Lepisosteus oculatus: one gene and its partner. The protein of the gene in region 2 interacts with the protein of the main gene of each other region in a pairwise test. Links are inferred from orthologs where the notes say so. Each region holds a gene or a part of one and is shown on either strand. Other genes may lie near its edges.

Region 1 (11,197 bases), on a different chromosome or scaffold from region 2:
GAACTACATAATTAGCAGAAGAGATGTAATAAATACTCATAAACACTGCAGGTACCCAGCAAAAAGTAAATGTCTTAAAATAAACAATGGAAGCAGTATATTTATTTTTGGAAGCAATATTTTATTTGTTTTACATATTTCTTTCCTGGCCTCTTTTCAAAGTAATCCATTATGATACTGGATCTATTCACATTAGTTTAATGCAAGATTACCACATAAAACATTTGACTTATTTACCTTTGAAAAATTTCTAATGAAAAATCCAAATTAAAAAAAAAAACAATCAGTACAACCCAGTGCTAAAGGGAAAATATTTAATATTCAAAATTGTTTGGAAGAATTTTTGTAAAAACAAGGCCTCTGGGATTTTTTCCCTACCCTAGTCTTCAAGATATTAACATCAGGATATACTACAGAAAAGAATGAGGAAATATTAATTAAATTGGTGATACAAAGCCAAATTAAGAGTCCTTTTATAATGGCATGAAGTGACTTTCAATGACCAGGTGATTTCCATTTCCAAAACATTTATGAAATCACAAACACCATGTTCTGATTGGCACTGCCTATACATCCAAGTGCTACAGCATGTTTGTTAAAGGATTATGGAGATTACTGCCAGGAAAAGCATACCAAACCAGGAGAAAAATTAACAGGAATAATTAGTGAGCCACAATGTGAGCTTCAGACATTTATTATACTAACTGAAAGCTGAACTTGAGCAAATTCACTTAAGTGTTTTGCATTCCAACACAAAGGCCAATGGGCAATAGTCTTTAACCCATATAATGCAGATTAACACACTGGTCTTGGGTTCCCAGCAGCAAAGACACTGCAAAGGCCTAGTCTGCCTGCCTACTAATGTTTCCCCTCTGTAACAACGGCTAGAACAAAGTTCATGGGAAAGGATTTATTTCCTCCCCTGTCTAAGCCCACTCAGACCGGAATGATTCCCACAGCTGTTCCAACGAAGTATGATTGGCCTAGAGAAAAAAAAACAAGAGAATTTTGCACTCCAGAAGTGTCAGAAATAGCATTTTCATATAATATTGGGTGTATTTTTCTCATACACTAGATTGCCCTTGTTCAAAACAGCAAATATTTTTAATTAGGATTTAATTTAGACACTTTAACAACAGAATTCCCACTGAGCACTCTTGCCGTACAATGGAATTCACTATATTATACATTAAATATGCCTGCACTCCTGTGCATAAAAGCCATTTTATATTAATGAGTAGCAAATATTAACTGTAATGAACTGGTGTCCCACCCAAAGTGTATCAGTCTTGTACTCACACTGAACCTGGTTAGGATCCAACTCGCAGAACCCAGTATTAAATCTAGCAGCTACTGAATATGGATGGTTACTAATCCAGACAACTTCATAAAGGAGTGGCTTTTTATGTGCCATATGAAAAGCAAATAGCCAACAAGCTTTGTAAATTTCAGAATTGAAAACGGGAGACATGTCAGGCAATCAAAACCAGATTTTTTAGGTGTAAAATAGCATCTTACGTCTGAGTAAGGGAAGATGAATACGGACTCCACACACTACAATCTAGCGAGCTCTCCCTTAATGCTAACAAAAACTGTTCCCTCAAGGCATGAAAAGCACAGACACACAACAGCCAAGGGGAAAGCAAAGGGGAGAAAAATACCATACTGGGATTGAAACCATTAAAAAAAAAAGCAGCGTCTGTACTCGGTACCAATTGTTCATCTTGTGCGGCTGTTTGTTATAGAATTACAAAATGCTGACAATCATGAACTGACTTTACGTATGCCCGACTTCAAAATGCAATGGAATTTACAGCACTAAGACCCAGAAGAAGCTCGAATCGTTAGTGAGAAGTGACCCCACCCTGAGAGACAAAGACCCTTTAAATCGTAATCGATTCGGCTTTCTGAATTGAGAGCGCGATTCTCTTGAGTGTTACAATACTAACGCCCATACCGAATTAAACTAAAGGAAATCGTTTTTTTAAATAGTAGTCTGTTTCCATTCACTGTGATTGACATTTGTATTCAGAGATATAAAAGGTGAAGCGTCATTAAATAAAGTTTAAAAACAAAAAGGAAGAAATTTTAAATTAAACGTTTAACTTTTAATATTTCTTTCGTAAAAACTGTATACACAGCTTATGTCAATATGAATTCATGTAAACATCTCATACGTCTTGGAACTTCAGTTTTTCAGTTAGTTTTAAACAAAGACAAACATCCTTTGTACCACTGCTTTAAAGACGTACAAAAATATTATCATACAACAAAACAGACTTTTTAGCTTCCTCTGTAGCAGAGAAAGAAATACAATATTTTTTACACAAAGACCAGTGCCGCCACTGAATTTTTTTTTACATTTTCTCAGAAGCACAAGCCCTTGAAATCGGCCACAGTGCAACAATGAAATATACATCATCCCAAAGTAAACGGTGCCGGGTTTTCATACGCAAACGACTGTGGTTTAATGGATCAGGCTAGTAGCATTACTATAGTAGCGGAGCAACAGGGAAGCAAACATACAATAAGTTACACGAGTGTGAAGTTCGGAGAATGCTACAATACTGATGTTTAAGTGCCTTGCTGTGGCATCGAAAACCTTATTGTGCAACAAGAAATAAAAAAAGGTTATCATTTTCCAAAACCTGACGCCTTTTTTCTTCCTTTCTTTACATCCAGTATAAAAAAAACAGCAAAAGCAGCCACTTCATCATGACTGAAACAAAGCAGGCACCTTGTTTGCGAAGGCGGGGTGTTATTTTTTTATATCATCAGCCTGCAGGACAAAACCCCGCAGTCCCCCTCCCTCTCCACCATTTCAACAGAGGTAACACCCGCTCGCTTTCTCTTCAGACAGGCATCTCCTCTCGCTTACGGTACAATGCAATCACTTCGTGGGTGGAAAAAAAAAAAATCACCTCAAAAAGCCTAATTTCCACCTTTTTAACTAGGGATTATTAAGATGTCAATTTCTTTATAAAGTGGTTTCAGAATGCAATTTGCTTCCCGGGGGGGGGGGGGGGGGGATCCTCGCCCCCTCAGTCTCAATCTTAATGCAACTGACGGTGGTCGGATTTACAAAATAAACAGAATTCCCCACAGATTAGACACCGCCACTAAAGAAACCCGATCATTTCACCCCGATTTCAAGACCTACGTTGCTTTGGCCTTAGCACAGCGCCCCCAAAACCCACCGTCAAAAACTGACCATCACAGTAAACGTCAATAGTCTGGTCTTTAATGCAAGTTCTGCCGAGGGGTCAAGCTCCGCATGACACCCTGGAGTCCTCGGTCACGCGAGTGCAGAGAAGGCAAGTCTCATTCAGTCCCATCTTGAGGTTTATTTCCCCTCTTTTGTTAAATCTCGGCACCAGACTAACTGGAGAGTGCCTGTCCCGTAACCTTTACCGCTTAAAAAATAAGGGATTTTTTTTTCCTTCAGTTCGTGTCACGCAGCGACTGTCCTTCACAGTTCACAAAAGCTTGCAGCAATTCAAACAGCCCCCGGATGGTCTGGATCTCTTCTGCAGTGCGGCCCGGGTGGCGGTCTCGAACACCTCCCGCACCCCTTCCTTGGTTTTGGCAGAGCACTCCAGGTAGTCGTAAGCCCCGATGCGCACCGCCATGGCTCTGCCGTCCTCCGTTTTCACCGGTTCCTGCTTCATCCTGGACAGCTCGTTCCGGACGTTCTCGTCGTTCCGCAGGTCCTTCTTGTTGGCCACCAGGATGATGGGCACGTTGGGGCAGAAGTGCTTCACTTCCGGCACCCATTTTTCGGGGATGTTTTCCAGGGAGTCCGGGCTGTCCACGGAGAAGCACATCAGGATGACATCGGTGTCGGGGTAGGAGAGAGGGCGGAGGCGGTCGTAGTCCTCCTGCCCGGCAGTGTCCCACAGAGCCAGCTCCACTTGCTTGCTGTCCACCTCAATGTCGGCCACGTAGTTCTCAAACACCGTTGGCACGTACACCTCGGGGAACTCGTCTTTGCTGAAAACGATCAGCAAGCAGGTCTTCCCACAAGCTCCGTCTCCGACTACGACCAGCTTTTTCCGAATAGCGGCCATTCTTTCTCCTCAACGCTGTCGGGTTACACGCGGAGTGAAACACGAAGCAATCAGCGGAGTGCAAACGGAAAATCAGCTTATTGCAACACGTAAAGGCAACTGTACTTCTGGAGCTAGCGCTGCAATCTTCCACCACCACCACCTCTTTCTGCCTTATTTCAGCCACTGCTGAAAAACCAACTTCCCCCGGTTTTAAAGACTAGGACTGCTTTCTTAATATAGCAAACCAATGGGAGAGAGATAGGTGAGGTCACCATTTTAGATGGCCGACGTGATTGGTTCTGCCTCCTCACTAGCCCGACCTAGGAGGAATGAATTACTCACCACGAGGATTCACGCGCTGTTCGGGGGATGAGCTCAATGTCGGGGTCTGCGCAGGCGTGAGCAGCAGACTGGGGGGATATGTGGTGGTCAGTGGAAAGCATAAGATTGATGCATCTGTTTGAATGAAATGTGATTCGTCACTTATCGCTTTGCCTTAATTGTTTTTTTTTTCTCACGACGCTTTACATATCGTGTAAGATTTGTGGGGGTAAAGGATTCTCAATTTTTGCAAGTTTGATTGAATTGTATTGGTAAGATGATAGAAGATTTGAATGCTATTTTAGCAGTGTTTTAAAGAGTCAACAGAAAATATGGGAACCTCAGTCTAAGTTTGAACTATGTTGGTTAAAAGATTTAAAACGTGTTCTAGTCATAATTAGATAAGATACTGCGTTATATTTATTTGCCTCTTTATAGTCTAAGATATTTTTAATTCAATGATGATAATTAAAAGATAAAAAGTAAAATTTGCTTAAATTGTTCTTTTTGTTTGCAACGGTTTTACTTGAACCGTTTTTTTCCTTGAATTTGAAAATGGAAAAAAAACCGAATCGTTGTAAAAGACGTGGAAGTGGCTTCACTAGCTGTAAACACAACTTAGATACATGTATGTATGAAAATGCATAACAATAAATCAAGGAATGGCTTTGATATATTCAGCTCCTGTACTCCTCCTCCCCTCCTGCCCGTTGAACAACAGTTGCGGCCTGTAAGCAGCAATAGGTCAATATTAAGAACAGTCACAACCCCCTCTTCACCATTAAACACAGTACTGAGATTCGTGCCGTGGTTCAGCTCTAGACGGGCTCTGTAGAAATTGGGAACAAAACCTAATCTCCGTGTCTCACTCATCTCATTGGCGGTGAACAAACAAAAATAACTAATCAGCATATATTATTTATGCTACATCATCGCGCGTTATTTGGACTTCCAAGATAAACTGTACTGCAGCTGAGCACTAGCGCAAGTTCATTTTTTAATTGAAATGAGGAAATAGTGACACCTTGTGGAAACCTTTCCTTTGCTCAATTCAAACGTTCAAAAAGGTGTTTCCCATTACTACACATTATTACAGAAATATTTTGCAGTTTGATTTCGAGTAGTGTTATATAGACCACGTGACATATTGGGTTTTTTTTCTTATTTGGTCCTACCTATGGGTTTATATCATACGTAATGTGTAAATGTGTTCTTATTCCTTCATTATTACTTTCATTGTATAATTTGTATTTTAAAATATTGTATTAATTTCTGTTAGTGTTTAGTCAGAAATTCAGTTTCAGTGGGATTTCATATGTCTTAACTGAACAAAACAATGAGTAAGAGGCGGAGAGAAAGAATTTAGTTTCTAAAAATACCCTCTGCCGTAAAAAGGTGTTAGGGATGCAACACTAGATAAAGAATGGAAGATATGACATCATAATTGCCTGTTGTAACACCAGTTTCATACAACAGTCCATACCATGGATTCCAAATAAATGGAAGCTGTTCTGTGACAACAACTCATTTCACATTGGGGAGCATTGATCAGGGTAAACAAGATGATTTCACTACTTGGTCGAAAAGCCTAGTTCTCACATAAACTGTGAAAGGAAAATAAATATGAGAACACAGAAATGAGATTTGCATAGAGGGGAGAGTATTCATTCCTTAATACATACATTCCTCATGAATCTTCATGTCTCATCCATTATACCTAGAGAGCTTCTTCTGTCTTAACGTGAATGGCAAAGGTTTTTTTTATTTATTTATATAGAGAATAATCAGAATTAAAAGAAGACAGAAGGCTCATTAAAAAAAAAACATGAGCCACACATCTCAATAAGTTCTGTGAAACAGAATAGTTTTACTGATTAAAGAGCATAAACGTAAGGTTCAATGACAGCCTGAAAAAAAAAATCCAAACTTAAACAGCTTTTTTCAATCAGGGAAATCTGGGGTGCTTTTAACGCTGTGGATTATCAAGTTTCAAAAATACCCTTCTTCTTTTATATAGTGTTTAAAAACAACTGGTATTTCTAATTCTAGAATTTCTCAGTAGTTAATATCCACATTATTTTTTAATATAAAAACAGAAAAGAAACTTGTGTTAACTCTGATTAGTTTTGATTATGGTGTAATCTTCCATGCATCAACTGTGTTATATTTCAGTAATATGTATTTCCTTAAAGTGTGGGTTTCACAATCAGACATCACTACTGAAAATACAGCATAAACAGTGGAGGGATCTTAATCTAGTTCTAGTCTATACAGTATTTCATTTTAGTTTTCACTCAGCAAACCCTTGCGTGACTTCTGGTGAGGTTTGAAAAGGATGCTGTGCCCTCAGACAGCAAGGAGCAACATGTTGAAATAACACACCTTTTCCACTTTTAAGGCCATGAGGTTGAAAGGTCAATTCAAAGTTCAACATGTTGGACTACTCACAATGCTGCATTGTTTTTTCTTGGGCTGCTGAAGAGCTGAGTTAACAACAATCACATGTTGCACTCTGAGGTTTAGCCTGTAAGGCAGGGCTTGTACCCCTAAGGATCAACCTTGGAAAAGAAAAGATGAAAAGGAAAATATTTTTGAAAAAGTCATCTGCCTTTAAGGCTGTCACTAGTGTTTTTCTCTCAGGTTTCATGTGAAGGTGTTTACAAGAAAACAGAAACTTCCTCCCTCCTGTCCCTGCCAGTGTCGTGGTTTGGGAGCGTCTCTCTGTGAAAGGTCATGAGTGATCGGCTTAGCTACACCCTTCTGTCATCCTCACAGAGAAAACTCCTAAGGCACAAGGAAGTTTTTAAACAATATTTTTTGTCCTCACGTTATTAGATGGCTTCCAATCCATACATTTTATTAAATATACATTTTTTTTCGAATCTGAGTACGAACTCAGCACTTTGATGTCCTTAGAGTGTGCCAATAGAAAATCAAATAAGCAAAACCATTTCATTTACACTTCTGTTTACATTGATTTTATATGTTGCAGCTATATCTTACAAGATAAATGCACTAGAGCAGTTGTTTCCCAACCCAAGGGATAAACTCACATGTCTTTCCTCATTTACCACACTAGGGAGATAGGGCCTTATTAAGTGTGTACTCGTGTGTGATTTTCAAATATTGCAGATAAGGAAGATGCCTGGGCCATTAAATCCGATGATCATTATCCTGAAGGGCCTTGTTTTGCTGCCATCTTCTGGAGAGTGAAGTTTAGCACAACAAAGCTCTATTAAGCAGTTGGCTAAACCTGCAAACTTATAAGGCTTTATAATTGACTGAAATTTTGACAGCATACAAGAAGCATGCTTTAAGTGAGCCAATACTTTTTGTGAAGGTGATTTCCTGATGAATTTTCCTACTTTCAGAAGACCAACATATCTTTTGCATCTGGTCAGGATGCAAAACCATGCCTTGGTAATGGTCTTATACAGTTTAAAAATGAGTTAATGCAGTGGTTCTCAAACGTTTTGGACCAAGTACCACCCCTAATCCAACCAAAGTATCCAAGTACCACCTACAAGTCATCATCTCATAGGAACCCCAGAAATTATCAATGACCAACATGAGCGCATGTGCACACACACTCACACATACATATAATAAATATTATAATAATAAACTTTGTTTGATATATTAAAATGTGGCTTCTCAAAGTGTTTTACAGAAAAAAACAACACATAAAAATAAAAAAAGCACCATTTCAGTGAGAGGGGTGAGCCTGTTTAGTTGAGCAAAGCAATCTAACAGATTTTAAATCGTCAGGCATTTTCTTGACGGCAAAGGTCTCGCGGTGGATGTTGCAATGAAACCATTAATTTCTGGAGCAACCTCTCTAATTCGTGCAACTACACCGCTGTGTCGGCTTGTCATTGCTCTAGCACCGTCTGTACAAACTCCGACACATTTTATCCAGTCGATGTCATTCTCTTCGATAAATTCATTCAGAAGCTGAAATATGTGCTCTCCTGTAGTTCCTGTTGGTAGCGGCTTATAGAACAGAAAGTCCTCACGGGACGTACCCTCAAACTCGTATCTTACGTAAACGAGCAAATTGGCCAAATCGACTACAGACTCATCTAATTGCAGTGAAAAACATCTGCTCATCTTAACGCGCTCTGTCAGTGTACTTTTGATATAATCCTTCATTTCAATAATTCTATGAATGACTGTGTCTTTCGGGGGGGCAGCAGGTCGGGCTGTTCATCAGCTTTTTCTCCACACATAATAGTGTGGGGCTTACCTGCTTTAGTAATCTGCAAGTTTGCATTTTCGACGTTTCCGTTTTTATTTCAGTGTTTATTTTAAGTATTTATTTCATGCGCATGGGAGAGAAACACAAAGACGCTCGATGTATTTTTCTCAAATTAACTTAGAACAGTTCTTAAATATTTTTCTGTTATTTTTCACCCTTTCGTGCGCTCACAAAATTACCTGCGTTCGTAGTACGCAATTCTATGCATTCCTGTGTTTACAACGTTGGCATTGTTCCAAAATCACACACATTCTCCTTTCTCCCTGTTTGCTGGAGATACAGTAGCTTTTTTTAAATACAATTGGTCACTTGCGTCCGTAGCACGCCTTCCTATAGAGTGGTATAGAATTACAGAGTATCTCTTGTGTCCACTGAAGTATTAGCGCGCACTGTATCCTAGTACGCAGGCTGCGTATTCGACACGTATAAAAGTACAAAATATGAAAACCCGTCCCGATTTTTTCAGCGCACACAACACAGTTCCAGGGTCATTTGGCGTACCACCTGGCGGCACGCCACATACCACTGCCGGTACGTGTACCACAGTTTGAGAACCACTGAGTTAATGCATTGCCTTTGCAGCCACAGGTACTGTATCTTCCCATCCTGAGAGAACTTCATACTACATAGCAAAATTAGTCAACACTTTTAAGGGATACTCACTGGTCGTGGTCTCAGTCTGTATTTTCCAAAACAGTGAGAGGCATCCTTAGCCATGTGGAGAGCTGCATCTGTGTTGCCCCGGCAAACCGCCAACACTGCAATTTGCCAAAGAGTTGCAAAACATTGTCCGTCTTTATAAATCCGTATGTTACTTGTCACACCAGCTCCCACAGGAGCGCTGGTCAAAGCACTGTAAACACCTCGGAAAACCGGTTGAGTTTCTACTGAAGCCAATCAGCCAGTTGTCATGAAAACAATTAGGAAGAAGATCAGTTCCAAGAGATAGTCACTTACCTCATTTAGCAGAATATTTAAGACCAGTCTCCATGTCACATTCCCATTCAGTGTTTGAGTTTTTACTTTAGTTTCAATGCTTAGTTTCTCTCATGCTTTGCCTGTTTCTCCCAGCTACATTTTACACTTGTGCTTCTGAGTATGTCTCTGGTTCACCTCTGCTTTGCCTGTGTTGTCTGGTGTTTTGACTCTGTCTTGACCTTGGTTCAGATGCATGTGCTTATTCCTAGCTATGAACCTAACTTGTTTACTACAACTACACATGGATTTGCTGTTTGCTCTTTTGCCCAGTCTTATTGGCTTCGAGCCTTGCTTCACTTTCAACTATGACTTTGGATTATGTCTCTCTGTCTGCCCACCTGCCTCCCTGCTCTCATCAGCCTTATTGCCTGAATTCATCTTCACTAGGGTCCACCTCATTTCCTCTGACCACTGCTGTCAGTCAGGTAAGAGTTGCAGCATTACATTACTGCTCAACTGTTGTGAAAAACCCAAAAGTCAGAGTTTGGAGTTTGGAGAGCTTCTGGGGAGTTTATTTCTAGACTCACCCAGGAGTCATACAATTGTAAATGCTAAGCCTTTTAAGAGCAGTAATTTGAAGATGAAGTGTAATGATTGTCACATTCACCCGAGGATGGAAACTGGGCAGAAACTAGTGTGGATATCCAAACAGCTGTCAACATACAGTATTTCCTGATACACATAAGAACTTACAATTAACATTCAGAAGATGAATCCATGAAGAATGTAGTGCACTCTCTAGATTGGGTGATACAGTACACAGCTGGACAGCGGGACAGGGGAAAAGAAAAAGAAAATAAAATGAAGGAAAAATGCAGCCTCAAACGCTCTTGTCACAGTTCCCTTCCTGGACTGTCGCTGGAAGATTTTCGTCCTTCTGGGGAGGAGTTCAGTGGGTTTTAAAGGGCTCCCACAGTTGTGGCTCGTCCTTAATTAGCCAGGGCTGCTGTGGTTGCTAAGGCAAGACACTGCCCTTAATCCAGGGCTCCGCCTCCACACCGAACACACCCCTGTATTATGTCACACCCTGAGGAAGAGGGTATTTAAAGATCAATACAACTTCAAATACCCTCAGTGTGAAACCAAACTTATGGTCTACAAAGCAGTCCTCATTCCTACAGTACTTTACTGAACAGGGCTGAAACAAAGACAACATATAGGGGATATTCAAAAGTGCAAGGATCATATCCCTCTTTAAACACTGTTATGGAGGGTTTTATGTATCCCTTAGGTAAACTGACAAACAAATATCAATGTTGTCTTCCAAGCAGGCATCATAAACATTGTGATGTTCATCCATCGTCAGTCCCATTTTGTAGGTCATGTCATCCAGATGCAATACTCTAGGCTCCTTAAGAAGTTTCTCTTCTCCCAAATTAGCCAATGCAAATACACCAGATGAGGACAGAAGAAGTTATGAAGAAGTGGTGAAAGAAATCATGAAAAAATGCATTGACGGTATCGAGTGGGAGATTATGCCTCTTGACTGAATCAGGTAGACGTAGTATATGCATGTCGTTTACATGTTTTTCCATGTCCTTTCCATGTACAGTAAGTGGAAAAGAGAGGTCCAAAGAGATCGGTACATTGA
Region 2 (11,128 bases):
ATCTTCTTGCTGTTAGATAGAGACTACAATTTATTTGCAAGGAGACAGTAATGTATCGAGAGCTATAGCCAGTAATTTATCAGCAAAATCTAATAGGACATGTTAGATTCAAAATCTGAATGTAATCTGAACCCAAGCCAAGATAGAATTTGAGCTACATCATCCTCTAGCTTTTAAATGGCCTTTTGTCCTTTAAAAAAAAAGCTTGTACTATAGTTACATTTAAATTAATATATCATATGTCAAATATTTAGATGGAATATAATTTATTGAATGATTTCCACATGCGGAAAATAGGCACATCAGTAAACACAATAGACAGACAGATCAAAAACTGTTTTTGATGTGGCTGTCATCTGTACTGTATATTACACATTTATTTTTGTGTGCCGATCAGTGACAACAACTGTGGGAGGCTGTATTTAGGAGAGGGGATATTGGATCAACGCCTCTTTCACCCAAAACAGCGTTTATGCCCAACATTAGGTAAATTATATTTCTTAAAAATTACAACTCTGCGTCCCCATCAAAGTAACTGATACGAAGGTGTGCTCAGATTCAAACTTGTTTGTTGATACAAGGTAATGGAAAGGACATGCATTTGATGGAAAATTGATCTATTTCTGCTCTATACCAGTAGGTACTGGAGAGATGTTAGGCATTTTGAAAATTTCACTCAAACGGATCTAATATGAGCATTAGCTTTCAGAACATTGCCGATATACCACTTTAATAATGGCCAAAAGTAAGTTAATATTAATAATGTTGAATTCTTACGAGAAAACAGTAACGTTACTTACAAATCGCTATTAAAAAGACCACGTATAGTACTGTATATAAACAGTTCACACTCAAGGACCCTACTAATATTAACCGGTAATTTAAGAAAAACACCCCTCGTATAGCCCTGACCCAGGTGGAGAGGAATCACAGCAGCTGAACGCTTGTATAAGCTGATATCGTCGGGACCAGAAATTGTCAAAACGTCGTTAAACGAGCCTGCCCTTGTAGTCACATCACCCATGTCACTACATTCTACAACGCTGCCGGGGAAAGACAAAGACCGATTCCTGGCACTTAAGCCCCTTCCCTACCACCAGCGCTTAAGAAATAGCAGTCTTACCTAGTAATGGCGATGTCTGCTTTTCGATTGATGCTTTTTTTGATGAGGATTTTGCCAAAATTGGCAATGTGTTAATTTCGTCTGCCAGGTTCCACTGTCTTTAACAGCGCCGCTTACAATTTCTCTCTCGCACTTTGCAACTCTACCAGAAACGCTGGGTGTGGGAGACATGGGTGCCACTTAAAGATGCAATGGCATTTTTTGATGAGCGCGTATATGCGTGCGACTAAGTATGTTTGTGTGTGATGTACATGTGTTGTTCAAAGGCAAGACTGAGCTGCTCCTTTCAACACGGATGAGTGAAAGATGGTTTTGTTTTTTTTACCCCAAATCCGTCTTTCGTCTCTATCACCTGAATTTCACAATTGCTGATCAGACCAGTGCTGGTGTGGGAAAAAAACATACTCCTACCGAAGAAATGTGAAGTTTGCAAAATTTACATTTTTGTGTTCATTTTGTGTCTGTCCACATGAGAAAAACAACTAGCTAAGGACCACACTGTTTTTACTTGTTTCTTTTTTGTTGATTAACCCACAGCTACAGATGTGCTATGTGTTTATAATAATTGTCCCCTAAGGGACAATAAAAGTTTATCTTTATCTTATCTTTTTGGTGAGTTATAAGTACATTAGCAGCTGTGCCCACGTGTGTAGTGATGTGCCTTGTGGATGGAAGACTTAAATGTTTGCACAATCCAACTTATGATCTATACATTTGAACATTTTAGCCCCAGGAACACAAAAAAGCTACATGACTGAAGATACTGCATGCATCCTTAAAGATCTGCAACTCCCTGTATCTTGAATAGTGCTGGTAATGTCTTACAGGGCCTTCAGACGTATCTCAGAATGTAAATACAATCTGACAGATTTTGAGCCAATAAACATGTCCGTATCCTCAAACTACATTCAGCTGAGAATAGATTCCTGATATTGTAGTTAACAGGGTTCTTAACCACAACAAAGCCCCATGAAGTGGAGGATGAGCTGCCACACAGTTGCAGAGATGCTGTGCAGTGGGTCCTTGAAAGTGTGGGAGTGCTGTTTCTTTAAAGGGAGGCAGTGGAAATGGGTGATGAAAACCAATGGCCCTGATCACCACTCTGCAGAGCTGGTACAAAATATGGAACCAATATCCTCTGCAAGGTTGCCATGGAGATGTGCTGAGACTGTGAGAGAGTCATATTGCTTCCTCATCATCCATTAAACAATGAAAGAGGGCGGGGTATGAGAGGCAGCACGAGAGCCGCACAAAGGTAGATTCACACTCTCCTGCACCACATGAAAGTCAAAATCTCTTGAAAGGCTTTACCCAGGATGGAAGCCAAACTGGCTAAAATTACACATTGAATGCCAATTTACTGTACTGTATGAACTATATGTTACACGTTCATGATTTTTGTGTGTGGCAATTTAGGGTGGTCTTCAAGTCACTCTTGCATTTGTAGTTTCACATAGTGTGTGAGGCTGAATGTCAAAAATTGTAATCTGTGAAGCAAAACTAATCTATGGTCAATAAATACTTAACATACTTAGGTGGGTACACTAGGATATGTGATTACATTCTTAAGACCTGCTTGCAGGATCAGATTTAAGCAGCTGTCACAAACAGCTACACTGACAGCTGTGTCATTTCTAAGGGAGCTATTTATAGCAGAGCAGTAGTACAGTATATTGTCATACAAGCCTACTACAATTATTTTAGGTTATTAGTTACATGCTATGGGACTCATTAACAAAACACTGACAAGACATATAAAACTGTTTGACTGCAGGAATGTGCATGTCTTAATCTCTAAAGTAAAGAAACTGCTTATTACTTGTTCAACTGCTTGTAACCTCAGGCGAATGTTATAGGGAAGGAATCTTTTTCCTTTTTTTTCAATTTCTGTAGGGGTGTAACCTCATGGAGGAACTACTGTATCGTGTCAAGTGACTGTTTCCCAGTAAGTTAAAAACTATAATAACAGTCGGACGTGTTGTTTCTCAAACCACCACCTGAACGCTTTGGGGGGAATGCTTCTTCCTTCAAAAATAAACTAATAGGCATTTATGCACAATGCACATTTTCAATTGGCCAGGTAAGGCTTTCATTCCTGCATGGGATGCTTCTGCTTCAAGGAGAACGAAATTCATGCAGCACAATTAGCTAGAAACATTTTAGATTTCCAAGGAAACTGATCAAATAACTTCACTTAGCACTTATTTGCATTTGGACTGCTGAAAATCATGTCTGGTTTGCCTTTACATATCAGCTCTACACTGAGAATTTCTGGTAAAGAAAAATAAGAAAGCATTCCCTGTATGCATTTTGTTTTCAAAAAGAGTACAAGCCTTATGTTTATTGTCCATCCTAAATCATTTAAACCTAACCCCAAGCTTTGTACTGCCTTCATACCCAGTACAGAAAAAATACTCAGAGACATACAAGAACCTAGCTCTTATTCTGCAAATGCTTTACAATGCAATTATATTAGTTTTCTTGCAAGTAACATAATGCCTATTAATTCACCACTACTGCTTTTACTTCTCCTACTACTAATAAAAATAAACCTCGGAATTTCCTCAAATGAATCACATCAGCGCGTGTGTATCTCGCCAGTAGGGAGCAGTAGAGGGTCTTGTTAAGGAAATGCTAAAATGCGGCGCGCTGGGCTGCTGAAGTGCTGACTCACTGAGGCCAGCAGGGACACCTGGGAGAAATACAGGAAGCAGCGCAGGCAGGAGAGGTCATAGCCGGCTGGGAAGCCGCTCATTCCTGAAGCCGGCTCGGCCCCTTTCCTAGGCAGCCAATGAATCAGCTTTTCGGAAGCAGGACAGAAGATTCCAGCTGATCTATTACGATACAGGCATGATTTTCAAACAATCCCTTTTACTTTACTGAAGAGACTCCCCATTTGCATTTTGAGTTATAACATATCACTGTTACATGCACATTGCATACAATGTGTGTCACTGTGTAAGTTACTGTCTTTAGAAGTGAATATCTGCTTTCCACCCTGGGCATGAGCTCTCAGAATTCAATGCTCTTCTGCAGAAAGGAATATAGAACTAATTTAATACACAGATACAGTGAACTGCAATGGAGCAGAATCAGTTGCACAACCAGTGCAGCATATCATAGTAGAAACATCATTAAAATGGCATTTAGTCATATCTAACCATTACTGTATAATTATCCTTTTCCAAAAGAAAATGCTTCACCCTGTTTGGATTTGCTGGAGAATAAAGTACTTAAAGTTAATATCATTCGGACCGTGATATTAACTATGATATCAGGCAAAATAAGGATCAGAACTACATATACTGATATGGTGTTACATTTCAGATCACAGTGGTGCTATCCGATAAACTCATCTGAGCCCCTTTCTCCTTCCCCTTGTGCCTCCCATTCTCCTTACCTTTTCTAACCTGCCTCTCCTTCTCTTTCCTGACTTTATTCTCTGTTCTTTTTTTCCTTCAATCTGTGTCCATAATTCTGTTTCTTTCTCTGTCTGATTCTGTTTTCCCCCACCCCTCCTCTCTCTCTCTCTCTCTCTCTCTCTGGATTATTGCCCAGATAGAGCTGATTGCTGCAGTGCAGTGTCATTCCCTGGAGAATAAGTGGATGTGTGGGATATCTCCTGTTCTCCTGCTCATTTTGAAAACAACAACAATAATAATAATCACTCTTTCTCCCACTTTATCTTTTTTTTAATTTCCCAGAGACATTTGTTGAGTATATTTGCTTTGACCTTGAGAAAGTAAAGCTCTGCCGGCCGTGTAGCAAACAACACGCTTGGATGAAAACTGCTTAAACTCAGGTTACACGTTGGTTGCTAGCTTTGTGTGTATGCTGTATACATAGACCCTCATGCCTTTAAACAAAAGAGCAAAAGTGATTCAGAACATTCTTCATTGTAAAACAGTCTGGCTGAACGTTTGTCTACATTCTAGGCTCTTCAGATGTTGAATACAAATGAGGGGAACCGAACGAGTGCCGACTCATCTCTGCAATAACTTAACATCAGTAGAGACAAGATGATTTCAGGATGAGATTTATTGCTTCTTAATAATTAAACAACATGAATCATGGATGTCACAATGGCCCAAGAGTGTGACATTGAGAACCACACTTCCCAAGCTAAAAGTGGGGTCATTAAGGTTGCTGCCATTGTAGATGTGTTACAACAGACTTTGAGGCCAGTTATTAACGTAGAACCTGTTTCGAAGGGATATACTGTAGTTAGAGGCAGAATATACCCACGTGAAGAGGTAACCGGAAGTATACTGAAGCTACACGTAATTGTATCTTCTTGTGAAAGTATTTTTCTATTTTTACCTTCTGAGAAATGACCGTTGATGACTCTACTCAGATGATGACACGGCTCGTATTTACTTATGCGAGACGGAGGCCTCGTGATTTCGGTGTGTATTCTGCACCGCCCAGGTGTCTCTGACATATTCCATACTTACCGACACCCGCATAAACAGAAACAGATTGAAGTAAAGGCACAGAGCTGACATCAGCAACACGGATAATGAAAACGATCTCTCCAACACTGTCAGGGGTTGTTTAAAAAATAATTTAAATAAACCCCAGCGCAAGAACTAATGAAAGCCGGCCACAGCCCCGTCTGATAACCCTACTGGGAGTGAGAGTTTGGCGTATTTCGAGAGCTGTGTCAGCATTTCTCACAGTGTGCTGTCAACAGTAGCTCTGATGCCCGACACAGAGGGTCTGTAGCCTACAAGGTCACGCTTTGGGTAAAGGAAACGTGTGCCAGGCTCTTTAAGTGCTGTTCTATGGTCTACTGGCGCTGTCCTTTAGCAAACCTAGACACAGCTGTTATTTGTTTACAGTACCTCCCCCACTGTGTATGCCTCTATGGCTTTAAATATGATAGTTCTATTTGTGCCGTGAGTGTCTTAATAAAAATATATGAATCCTCGCATTAAGAGTGGTTTATCTAAAGTGATTTGAGAGGAAATAACATTTTACATTGAACAAAAACAATTTTACGGGAACAAATCATTTCGAAAGATCCATGGGCAGCAAGCTAGGGTTACAGGAATAAAATTAGAATATGAATAACAAAATTTGGTTGATTTGAGTTAGCATAAATTGCTCCAATTCCTAACTGCGGATGAATTTGATCCTTACAACCTAAACGTCATAAATTTGTCATTTAAGCGCAGACCACGACACGCGGATGCAATCAATATGTTGTATTGGAAGACGTGGGTTTACTAGTGTTACGAGGAACCGCCCTCTGTGCACGTCTATTGGATGACCGTGACATCAAACATCCGCATGCGCCAGTAGCCAATCACAAACGAGCAAATGGCTCTTTAAATGTGCAGTGCGCCCCTCCCACCGGGACCTCCCCTAGTTTTCCGTCTCGCGGAGAGCTCGTGGCAGCAGTTGTCATGGAGATGGAAGAGGGGCCGGCGTCGGCTCTAGGTGCTGTTGCCATGGAGATGGCGCGGGCTGCGGCAGAGAAGGACGAAAGCGGTGCGCATCTGGGACTCCAGGAGCTGCAGGAGCCGCTTCAGCACCAAGGACAGCAGCAGCGAGCGGCGTCACTGTTCTGCCAGGGGAAGTATTACATGCTGATCGTAATCGGGGAAGTCGCAACAGAAAACCAGCTCCGAGCCGTCAGAGAACATACCGAACTGGGTGAGTCTGCAGGAATGCCCTCGAGTTTTATCGCGCTGCACCGCTCTATGCGCAAGTGTGCTGGAAAGGGTGTCGGGGCTGCAAAACATACCAGGAAGAAGAATCAAGTTGACGCAACGTTAGCCGAGGGAACACGTGAAGGCAGATCCTTGGGTTATAAAGTCTAACTTTCACCAAGTTCAAGTTTTTGCAATGATGAGAGAGGGCTAAGTTTAGCTGGTTTAGGCATCTGGTGCAGAAGAAACAAGAGAAACTCAAGTCAGTGAAGTCTCCAGGGTTTTCTGAATTCCGACAGATTCTAAGCAATTGGAAAAAAAAAGCCATATTTTATCCTGGTCTACCATATCACGCCTTGTTTTTTAAAAAAAGAAAATGTAATGCAATAATAACTTATTTAATACAGCCCAACCCTGTTAGCCCTGTAGAGGCAGAATCTCCAGAAAGTTAATTCATTTCTAACATTCCCGATTGTTTCCAAACTGTAAATCAAACTGTCTTCAAGATTCAAGATTTTTTATTTGCCATATACAACAAGTGTATTGGAATACTTACTCGTTCAGCTGTACCCAGTAACAGTAGAGAAGGAAAAACAGGCAGACATGACAAACAGACATGGACAATAAATTTAGACAACAGACGTTATAATACAGCCAAGACAGGACATAGTGCAAACAGTGCAGTACCTAAAAGCGCAGGTGGTAATTTGAGCTGTTTATGATACGGACTGCTTGGGGAAGGAAACTGTTTTTGAATCTATTGGTCAGTGTTCTGATACTGCGATACCTCCTACCAGAACCCAGGGGTGAAAACAGACCGTGGCCAGGGTGAACTGGGTCCCGAAGTATACAGTAGCTCAAGCTCGGTTGTGGCAGCGGTCGAGATATATCCGGTCGATGGAGGGTAGCTCGGTCCCAGTGATTTTCTGCGCGGACCTCACAACCCTCTGTATGGCTATTCCGTCCTGTACTGTGGCTCCACCTTTCCAAACCGTAATACCACCGGTCAGGACTGCTAGCAACGTCTGGATTTGATATACAGCAAGACTGAGGACATAGGTAACCAGACGATTCCACTACCTTAACATTCTCACGAGATCACGGATAAAAACAACGCTTACAAACGGGTAAACAAAATGCCAATGACGCATCCGTTAGGATGAATTCACGTGAAGCAGAAACGATTTAAAATACTTCGTAAGGCACCGAAAAGTTCCCCAGTTCTGCCTCCAGTTCTTCAGTTCTGCCTTCGGTGTGGAGGAAAACATCGCAGAGCAAGGGAGCTGATATCCCTGCGCAGACTTCATAACCAATTCACATTGCGACGCCAGCCGTCAGTCGAAAAAATTCAAAGGCCGAGAAACAATCCCTAAAGGCCCAGTGCTTAATAAACAAATAATACCGCTGACAGCAGAAATATATAAAAAAATATTTATATTTATATAATATTGCGGAGAGGCAGCAGTCCACTTTGCACTGTTTGGAGTGATGAAATGTTTAAGGATGGGGAGGGTTCCACTGACTCCATGCTCATTTACATTTCACCGCTCATAAAGGCTTTCCGGTACCACAAACCAAACAATCCACTTAAAAAGCAGGGAAAAAAAGAACGAAAACATAAGAAACGAAAGTCGAGACAACGGAAACGCAAGTTTCCTATAATAGGAAAATATGAGAGCCTAGTGACATACTGTATGTCCCTGCTTTGCTTGGTAAGTCTATTATGTATACAGTATATTGTCTGTTATTTATATAATAAAATATGATGCCCTTACCATTTTTCTCCTGCAGAAGGTTTACACTGAATAGGTTTCTGAGTTCATTTCAGCAGATGTAAGTCATGCAAGAACTCACCTAAAGCAACATTAGAATGATAAATATTCAAGTCTGAATCGCATATCATCAGAAAAAAAGCACTATTGGCAGTGTAAAGCAACACTGTATTGTAGGCCTACATTCAACAACACATAAGAACAGTTTTGGCATGCAAACAGGAAACTTAATTTAACTTAAAAACTTAAGGAACTTAATTAAAACGAAAAAAAACCCTTTTAATTAATGTACAAACATTGTTGGTACCAGCGGGGCATTGACACTTCATTTGAAACATGCAGTCTTTGTTTCTTTGTAAGGTCAACACACAGGCCTCACTGTTGTCTGTACGACGATGCTGTAAAAATCACTCAAGGAATATAGAGTCAATTTATGAAATTCCCAGATTTTCAAAACACAGCGTACAAATGAAAATCATTATTTTAAGACATCCAAATAAAGTGCTTCTTATAGTATGTACAATAAGTTGTGATTGCATACACTGGTTACAGTAAATAAATGACTCGTTATTTATAGGTCTTGCTATTGTCTGACAGAAACAGCATTTTATTTTACAGTATGGAGAACCAAATATTTGTGTTAATTTTTCAAACATAATTTAATTCATTATAGTTGTAGCACCAGGTGTTATTATTTAAACAAAATAGAATAAATATAGGATAAAAAATAGGAACATTGCTAAGAACGTTGATAAATGGCACTGATTAACACATTTTATAATATTATCAACAATTCAGCGATTCCTGTTCCAGTGTCTCTGTTGCAAAAAAGCTCTGTGTTTCTAGAAATACCTTTAGTTTGCAGCTTGAATCTTTTTATAACGTTCTGTAGAACTCTATAAGTGTTTTAGAGGTTGAAAAACCTAACAATGCAAAACAAAAACAATGGGATGAATTAAAGAAAGAAAAATAATAATAATAATAATAATTGCTTACACTTATATAGCGCTTTTCTGGACACTCCACTCAAAGCGCTTTACAGGTAATGGGGACTCCCCTCCACCACCACCAATGTGCAGCATCCACCTGGATGATGCGACGGCAGCCATAGTGCGCCAGAACGCTCACCACACATCAGCTATCAGTGGGGAGGAGAGCAGAGTAATGTAGCCAATTCATAGAGGGGGATTATTAGGAGGCCATGATTAGTAAGGGCCAATTGGAAATTTTGGCCAGGACACCGGGGTTACACCCCTACTCTTTTCGAGAAGCACCCTGGGATTTTTAATGACCACAGAGAGTCAGGACCTCGGTTTTACGTCTCATCCGAAGGACGGCGCCTGTTTACAGTATAGTGTCCCCGTCACTATACTGGGGCATTAGGACCCACATGGACCGCAGGGTGAGCGCCCCCCGCTGGCCCCACTAACACCTCTTCCAGCAGCAACCTTAGTTTTTCCCAGGAGGTCTCCCATCCCGGTACTGACCAGGCTCACACCTGCTTAGCTTCAGTGGGTTGCCAGTTGTGAGTTGCAGGGTGATATGGCTGCTGGTCATATCATAAAAAAAACTATTTTTTTATTTTTATAAAAAAATAGTTTTTATAAAAGCTGTATAAAAGTAGTAATATCAACATAACCTCTGCAATATATTATAATATATAACACTAATTAAAACAAAGCAATAGTAATATTTAATTACTAAATGATGAAAAGCTTAGTATTTCTGTTAATACGGGGATCAGAGACACCTTAAACTGTGCACAATAGAAAGACATTCACGCAAGAGAAATGGCTATGATACCAAAATATATAATAAGATCAATTCCTCTTTTTAACGGTTGTGAACTCGAGACACTTAAGTTTCCAGAACATTTTTATGATTTATAGTAAGCTTCTTGGTGCCTGGATAGTGATAAGCAAGAAAGTCCAATCTTCAAGGCCTCGGTACTTTATTTGTAATCAGGAAGATCTTCAATCAATATAAGGGGCTCATTTGATATGAGTAAATAAATATAGACAGGTAGATTAGATTTATAACAAATTCAAGCTATTTATGGTGTAGTTTGCAATTCCAATTTGGAAAACGTGGTCCTGTCTTGAAGTTGTATGAATAACAACTGCAATATATTTGACCTTCAGGCATCTGTGTGATTTATTGCCCTAGGAGAATGCTCCGTAAAGATTTTGTTATGGAATTTCTTTAGCAGGAATTACCTGGGAGGGAGGAGAAAGTGTAAAGACAGGAAGAAATGGTTAGAAGGCAGGTAAACTGTGCCGTGGTGTGGATGCCGGTGGTGTTGTCTTATAAACACGGTGGCATGACTTTTGCTCTGCGGCAGTCTCCAGTCTCTGCAGTGGTGCCTGAGGCAGATGGGCAGTGCCGTGGTAGGGTTGCTGTGTTTGTCACACAATTGCTGAGGGACAGAAACCTCTCTGTATGCAATTCTGCCTTCACTGCGTACCTCGCCATGCCAGGAGCCTCAGGGTGATGGATCACTGTTCTGGCATCAGCCTCACTCCCACAAACTACTTGGAAGCACTCAGACTGGCGCCCTGTAATTTACAGCGTGACGGCTG

What was found.
Region 1: the proteins of map1aa (region 2) and rho-related GTP-binding protein RhoB interact in a two-hybrid assay, tested with the Homo sapiens proteins (2 studies listed by BioGRID and IntAct). The link is inferred for Lepisosteus oculatus from reciprocal best matches to the Homo sapiens genes MAP1A and RHOB.

Annotation. Positions count from the first base shown.
Region 1 is NC_090697.1:25,686,384-25,697,580, forward strand, and holds rho-related GTP-binding protein RhoB, read right to left. Parts: upstream 4,270-11,197; 5' UTR 4,068-4,269; coding exon 3,477-4,067; 3' UTR 101-3,476; downstream 1-100. UniProt on the Homo sapiens protein: Mediates apoptosis in neoplastically transformed cells after DNA damage. Not essential for development but affects cell adhesion and growth factor signaling in transformed cells. Plays a negative role in tumorigenesis as deletion causes tumor formation.
Region 2 is NC_090700.1:49,653,558-49,664,685, forward strand, and holds the start of map1aa (microtubule-associated protein 1A), read left to right. Parts: upstream 1-6,445; 5' UTR 6,446-6,531; coding exon 6,532-6,781; intron 6,782-11,128. UniProt on the Homo sapiens protein: Structural protein involved in the filamentous cross-bridging between microtubules and other skeletal elements.